Linked DNA regions of Styela clava. The protein of the gene in region 2 binds, or shares a complex with, the protein of the main gene of each other region. Links are inferred from orthologs where the notes say so. Each region holds a gene or a part of one and is shown on either strand. Other genes may lie near its edges.

Region 1 (3,757 bases), on a different chromosome or scaffold from region 2:
ATCACGCTTGAAAATCTGTCTGAGTGAGAAAAGTGTCAGAGCGGATGCGAAAAGGGGGCATTGTTACGTCACTTTTTGCATCTTGCTGATTGGCCAATGTCACGAAGTAAACAAGGAAGTCCATGCTCGGGGAAAGGTCCATTGCATTTGCCTTGCCGTTGTTGTAAGAGTGATAGGATAGGATTTACATATTTATCCCGGGGGAGAGGAAAGCCGATAAGACGGCTTATCCATATGGCGAACCACGGCCTCTCGTCCGGTTACCATTCCAAGTCGGGTATGGGATTAGTTTTACTGTATTGTTTGTTTTCGGGAGCATGGACTTGGTGGTGGAGGAAGCCGTAACCGACCAGCGGTTACGTGAACCACCACCACGTTATAATTGTATGTCATATTGTATTTGTAATCAAGCCGTCCACCTTCAGTCAGTCAGTAGTTTATTTTTACCGAATGTAAACATTGACGAACAAAATTAAGAAAAATAAAAAATCGCATTTCATTGTGAAAGGAGACGCGATAAACCAGAGATGGTTATCGAGCAGCGTGACCGCGCTGAATTGACTAGTGCTTAATTTAGTTTAGGCTAACAGAAAAGTAAGTTTTGGCTATCTGCTTACAAATTCTATTTAATCATCTGTGCAAAATCCATAAAAATAATCTAGCCATTTGCATCTCCATGGCTCTGTGAGCACGAATTTTCTGCTCTGACTCAAATTAATATTTATATCTCACTTTTTGCATCTTGTTGATTAGCCAATGTCACGAAGTGACATTAGAATACAGAAACAAGGAATGCTCGGGAAAGGTCCATTGTGTGCCGTTTATCTATTCTTGGCACTAATGTGGCTCGAGAACAATGCGAAAATAATTTTGTGACCCCCGACATTGATAAACTTGGATCACGCAGTACCAATAAACATTATTAAAATATTATCTCTAAAATATCAGGCCTCTCTGTACGAAAAGTACCGCACCTGCCGGTATCGGGCAGGATTGTATGCCCAACGAAGTAGGCATACGTTGTACACTCGTCACGCTCGTATATATAGGCTTTGGTATACATCGCATACCGGTGTACATCAGCCGCAGGCCTAAATCAATTATATTCACTTGTTAATCATCTTGTATTGTTGAAAATATTAACCAGCTGTGTATGCATATGGCCTTCATCGCTTTCAAACATTGGTTGGGTCACATTTGGCTTGTGGCATCCTTGCAAATCCTATCCTTGTTGCTGTGTTGGGTCACCCTACAGATGCTGCAATGAATGCCATTACCGTACTAACCTTGAAAAGCGAAGCCACTAGGGCTGTAGGGTCAGACTTGACGTTCATCCTGTTTTTATTGCTACGAATGATCTGATGTCTTTTCGGTTGTTAGAATAACAGCTCTGGTGCGGTACAGTACCAGTCTGCCAGTGTATTTCAAATAGCCTAGTTTGTTCTGAAGTAAAGAAGCATTTGGGAAAAGCGTTTGTTTTGAAAAGAAAATGAAAACTGAGGAAAGTTTAAATATATTTTCTTGTGATTTCAGATTCTAAACACTTTTTCATAGTTTGGCTCACATAAGAATAACAAATTTTAAAAGGTATTATTTATGAACGGTAATGTATTATGATTAAATCAAGGATCTTCGCGAGGCGATTTTTTCATACTGCCAGATGCAAAAAGGTAGACTTCCTTCGCAAATCTTGCAATGTGCGGACACTGCAACAGTGTAGTCAGATAAAATCTAAAATACTGTTCGTCAGACATTTTCATAACAGTCGAAACTCATGGATGCCTGTCGTTTCATTCAATTTATCCGATATTGGTGAAGGAATAAAAGAAGTTGAACTAACAGAATGGTTTGTTCAAGAAGGAGATGAAGTTGCTCAATTTGACAGCATTTGTGAGGTGATGCTTTTATAATAACTTCAGCTGAATATGCCTACTTGATGCATATATTTTTACACTTCATTAATTTGATAAATTTACACTGATTCGTCTTACAGCTTATAATACAGTAATAAAGTGTGCCTAGTAAGAGTGAAATATGCAAAAATTATCGAACCACCCCACTGGAAGTACTTGTGGTACTATACCAGACCCGGAAGAATTGAAGATGTAGGCTACCGATATATCGGACATTTTTTCGGTATTGGCATAAATGAGACTGATATGTTCAGCTCTTTGATCTGATCTAGAATGTTTTGAAGTATAGGTAAGAATACATATATTGATAACTGAAATGTGCAAAAAAAAGGTCGATAACCATGGATCTAAAATTTGTTTATTACTCACTAAACAACGAAGATTCTATAGGCTATATAGCTGCAATTTTAACAATTTATTTATTTCGTTTCTAAGGTGAAGAGTGATAAAGCTTCAGTGACGATTACCAGCAGATTTGATGGCGTTATCAAAAAACTCCATCATGAAGTTGACGATATAGTATTAGTTGGGCAAGCCCTCGTTGATATTGAGACTTCTGGATCATCAGATGATGATAACCAAGATGAAGAAGAAGGTATTTAAACAGTCATAAAATCATTTACAGTCATTCTCATAACCCAGACAAAGATTGCTTGATCTATTAATTTATTTCACTTACAAACCAAGTTAGGAAGCTGTTTCAAATAATTATTTTTTTTGAGGTTTGTCTATATCCAAGAATTATTTTTCAGTATTTATATTTCTGATATTCATAATGATTTCCACAATCGTTGTGAGGCTACTCCAAACACAAATCTTCATTTCCTTTCCATGTGTCACACCTAATCTGGAATTTGGGTTTGCTTTGTTGTGTTTGCAAATTATGATTACCGATGAATGTTCATAACCGAGTGGCTTTTTTTATTTTTGTTGCTTCTATATAAGATTGTTGGGTCAAATTGGCATTGGAGCATATTTCAAGTCAGAAGTATTTTGTGATTTATTTGGTTTATCCAAGTTCATATTGTGTTGTTTACATAAATTTCTGCACTGATTATTTCAGTATCAGAAAAAGTTATTGTTGATAGAGATGATGAAGAAAATATAAATTTAATTACAAAGAAAGCGCTTGCATCCCCTGCTGTCAGAAGTCTTGCAAAGAAGAACAGTTTAGACATATCTACAATACAGGTACGTGTTTTATTTCACGGTGAAAAGTTTTTTAATTATGGTATGTTAATTCGCAACTCAGATGTATCATCGAATATTGCTCAAAACCAGGATTATATCTATTAGACTTTTCGACTGAAGTCACTTTTTTCTCAACCTGTCAATTATGTAGTTTAAATGGAGGAGATCACTAAAAAATTTTCCAGCAGTCAGTTTATCCTGCTTTTGATGTGTTTATTTATAATCATTACAGTATGCTGGTTTATTTAACATACTACTTTTTCACAGTACCTATTTAAATCAATTGACATGAAGTAATAAATATAGTACAAGGCCAACCAAATTAAGCAATCTAAGTGGAACACAATCTGAGGAAAGAACAAAACAGTTAAATCATGCAATGAAATGTATTGTAACGTTCAGTACCCTAAGAAAGTTATCTTTTTGGCATTATTATTAATAACAACAAGCTGCTTTTACAACCTAATGCAGTTCGAATCTTGTTTTTCGACTTATGTATATTGTATCAGGTTATATACTTTAGTCATAATGATATTATAATCTTAAAATATAGCTCTTGCCTGAATATACCTGACTGCTAATGTGAAATAAACTACATTATATTCATCTATTATACAGTAATAAGAGGAATTTTTATTTGTAAATGAATAATT
Region 2 (3,757 bases):
ACTCTGTGGAACAAGTTATATACTCTGACAAGAGTAGAATGTTGACAGTCATGTATTTATATTTAGTGAAAACTATAATTGCTAATAACGTCATTCAATGAGTGAGTTTTCTAATTACCGCAAATGGCAATGTTTAATGTATTTGCATCAGGAATCTTTATGGTTATAATTTGTGGTATCCCCTTGAGAATGAATTTCTGACTTTATGAGAAGCTATGATATATGTTGGTGTTGTCTTCATTTTCCTATGTACATTATTTCATTCACTTTATTATTATGTTGAGATGCTTTATATTTGGCTTCCCAAAAACTTTAAAATTTCATTTTAAACAACTATTCTTAAGCGAAAGTAGTATTTAGAAAATTTGTGTATATTTATTAAATTCTGTCATATTATTGACCTGCTGAAAAACTTTTCTGAAATTGAGATATTTCTAATTATGTTGTGTGGTTCGTGATTCAATATAGATTGAATAGATATAGATACATTGTTTTGAGATCTTATTTGTTCACTGAAACGAAAGCAGAAATACATACTTATGTGTCGAATACTTGTTTGTTTACCCAGTTGTTCTTTTTTTATTATAACATTCTTCTTTTTGATTGTTTTCTTCTTGTTTTCTCTGGTTTATAAATGCAGCTACTTCGGCATTTTTTCCACATAAATATGCTCATACGAGTTTGAGTTCTCTGTAATTCATTTTCTTGTTGAATGTGCTGAATTTTGCCATTGTTCATCAAATCATGATATCGGCAAATTTTTGTGAGAAATTTATTATAAATCCTGATCTTTCTGAAAATGCAAAATTTCAACTGCATAACTTAGATTTGGATTTTCCAAAATATAAAAACATCTTTTCAATTGTCGATTGTTTTTTCAAATTTTGTAAACTTGTAATATTGGTCACTTTATTTTCATTTATAAATAGCCTGTTGTGGCAGAAAATTTTTCCACTTTTTGTATCTTATGCCCTATTTGTCAATTCATTGTGTAAAATGTGAAACTTGGAAAACTTTCCTATTGCTCTGAAGATATTTTTGAAGGCTGTATTGTACAAAATTGAATTAGTATTTACATTCAGTGGTGGCAAATTTGTGCCAGCGGCTGCTTTGATTTGATAGGTCCTGTGTTTTAACTTCACAAACTTCTTTCTGATATAAATGGCTAATTATAAATGACACAGATTTAATTATTTCTGCATTTGAATTGTCCTTTTTTGCAGATTTTTATGCTGTACTTATTTAGTAATCTAATTTATTGTTTATATTTAAGCCAAAATGTTCAATTTAAAACTGAATTCTGCATTAGCTCGTAGACTTTCGAAAGGTTCCTCACTTGGTTTCAATTGCTTGAATGCCAGGACAAATGCAACGGCCACTCATGATGCCGATTTGACAGTGATAGGATCTGGACCAGGCGGTTATGTCGCTGCTATCAAAGCTGCCCAGCTAGGAATGAAAACTGTTTGCGTAGAAAAGAGTCCAACCCTAGGTGGGACATGTTTGAATGTTGGGTGTATACCATCGAAAGCTCTTCTAAATAATTCTCATTTGTACCATCTTGCACATGGAAAAGATTTTGAATCCAGGGGGATTGAAGTTTCCAATGTTTCTGTTAATCTGGAAAAAATGATGGGACAAAAATCATCTGCTGTAAAGGGTCTCACCGATGGTGTTGCTGGATTATTCAAGTTCAATAAAGTTACGCATGTTCGTGGTCATGGTATGATTAAAAGTCCAACACAGGTGATAGCTACAAATGAAGAAGGAAATAGTGAAGTTATCAATACAAAAAATATATTAATTGCTACTGGCTCTGAAGTTACACCATTCCCCGGTATTGAAGTTGATGAAGAAAGGATTATTTCATCAACCGGTGCTCTAAGCTTGAAAGCGATTCCAAAAAGATTGATTCTTATTGGTGCTGGAGTAATCGGTGTTGAGCTAGGATCTGTCTGGTCAAGATTAGGTTCTGAAGTAACTGCGATAGAATTTCTTGGACATGTTGGGGGAATGGGTATCGACATGGATGTTTCGAAAACGTTTCAACGTACTTTAAAGAAACAAGGAATGAATTTTAAACTCAATACGAAAGTGATATCTGCTGATAAAACAGACTCTTGTATCAAAGTTAATGTTGAGGCTGCAGCCGGAGGTAAACCAGAAACATTAGAATGTGATGTTCTGCTTGTTTGTATCGGTCGTAGACCATATACACAGGGACTGGGATTAGAAAATGTTGGAATAACAGCAAACAAACAAGGAATCATCTCTGTTGATGAAAGGTTCCAAACAAGCTGTCCAGGTATATATGCCATCGGTGATTGCATTCCAGGTCCTATGCTTGCCCATAAGGCTGAGGATGAAGGTATTATATGTGTAGAAGGTTTAACTGGTGCACCAGTCCATATTGACTACAATTGTGTGCCTTCTGTTATTTATACTCACCCAGAAGTTGGATGGGTTGGCAAAACTGAAGAAGATTTAAAGGAGGCAAATATTCCTTACAAAGTTGGTAAATTTCCTTTCGCAGCTAATAGCCGAGCAAAGACAAATGCTGACACTGATGGATTTGTAAAAATTCTCAGTCACAAAGAGACCGACAGAATATTGGGAGCTCATATCATTGGTGGAGGTGCTGGCGAAATGATCAATGAAGCCGTTCTTGCGATGGAATATGGAGCTTCATCTGAAGATGTTGCAAGAGTTTGTCATGCTCATCCAACACTGTCGGAAGCTTTTAGAGAAGCGAACTTGGCTGCATATTTTGGCAAACCAATCAATTCATTTTAATGTCTATCTATTTGGAAATATTTTTGGCTTTATATAAATATTTAAATAATGCAATGAGTTCACTCTTACAAACAGGTTGAATATTTAATGATAAATACACAATGTAGGGTATGGGATAGGCAACAATATGGCTATGTAATAAATTGATTCAATTTATTCTTTGAGTCATTTATACTTTGTTTTCACCAGATATGGAATTATTAAGATGACTAATATGAAAACTTTGGTCTTTGTTTATGACAGCATTTCATTATTGCAACTGTGTATTATTCTCTAATGGGTATTGCCACGATGATATGAAATGATCCTCAAGTAATGAACGAACATTACAAAAAAAGGAGTTAGACTGCTGTTCTTCTCGCACACTTGTTTAAATTTCTCATTTGCAATTCTTTGTGCCCTGGACTTGTGCGAAAATATTTCTTTTGTTTTCATTCCACAATGTTATCAATCTTGCATATTGGTTAAATTTTTTCCGGGAATGGTTTTCATGCCCATTCTTGGCAAGATGCGAGATGCTGAATTAGTTTAAATCAAGAATTTCATATCTCTGTATCTGGCCAGGTAATAAAATAAATGCATATTGATGGTCTGTTATAAAGAGTTTCCATTTCCTCCAGTTTTTTGTCATCTTCAGTCTTTTCATTGCGATTCGAGAGTTATTTTTTCTTTATGTTAAAAATGCATATTATTCATAAATTTAGTGTTTTAGCTGTTTTAATTCAATAATTGTGAAGTCACCATGAATGCAAGTGCAACCATACACAATAATGGGAAAAGCAGTCGTGGGATCAGATGAAATATTTTGAAAAAATGTGTGAATATCCTAGTTTTGTATTTCCAACTCACACTCGTGGTTACAGTAAACACAATCAACAAGCATTTACAGATTATGGATGCTGGGAATCTGTGGACATTGATGTTGATGAGGTGGGTTGCGAAATGTTCAGTTTAAAAAACTACT

What was found.
Region 1: the proteins of dihydrolipoyl dehydrogenase, mitochondrial-like (region 2) and lipoamide acyltransferase component of branched-chain alpha-keto acid dehydrogenase complex, mitochondrial-like are in contact, whole or in part, in a crystal structure (PDB 3RNM), measured with the Homo sapiens proteins. The link is inferred for Styela clava from reciprocal best matches to the Homo sapiens genes DLD and DBT. Residues at the interface, in NP_000099.2 of Homo sapiens: Ser446, Thr447, Asp448, Arg449, Glu472, Tyr473, Gly474, Ser476, Glu478, Asp479, Arg482; in NP_001909.4 of Homo sapiens: Thr174, Pro175, Ala176, Lys196, Arg199, Leu201, Lys202, Glu203, Leu206.

What each region holds. Positions count from the first base shown.
Region 1 is NC_135260.1:16,251,370-16,255,126, forward strand, and holds the start of lipoamide acyltransferase component of branched-chain alpha-keto acid dehydrogenase complex, mitochondrial-like, read left to right. Parts: upstream 1-1,510; 5' UTR 1,511-1,613; coding exon 1,614-1,895; intron 1,896-2,348; coding exon 2,349-2,508; intron 2,509-2,976; coding exon 2,977-3,104; intron 3,105-3,757. UniProt on the Homo sapiens protein: The branched-chain alpha-keto dehydrogenase complex catalyzes the overall conversion of alpha-keto acids to acyl-CoA and CO(2).
Region 2 is NC_135252.1:10,600,005-10,603,761, forward strand, and holds dihydrolipoyl dehydrogenase, mitochondrial-like, read left to right. Parts: upstream 1-1,274; 5' UTR 1,275-1,278; coding exon 1,279-2,793; 3' UTR 2,794-3,497; downstream 3,498-3,757. Other genes in the region: uncharacterized protein LOC120343183, read left to right, coding at 3,589-3,723. UniProt on the Homo sapiens protein: Lipoamide dehydrogenase is a component of the glycine cleavage system as well as an E3 component of three alpha-ketoacid dehydrogenase complexes (pyruvate-, alpha-ketoglutarate-, and branched-chain amino acid-dehydrogenase complex).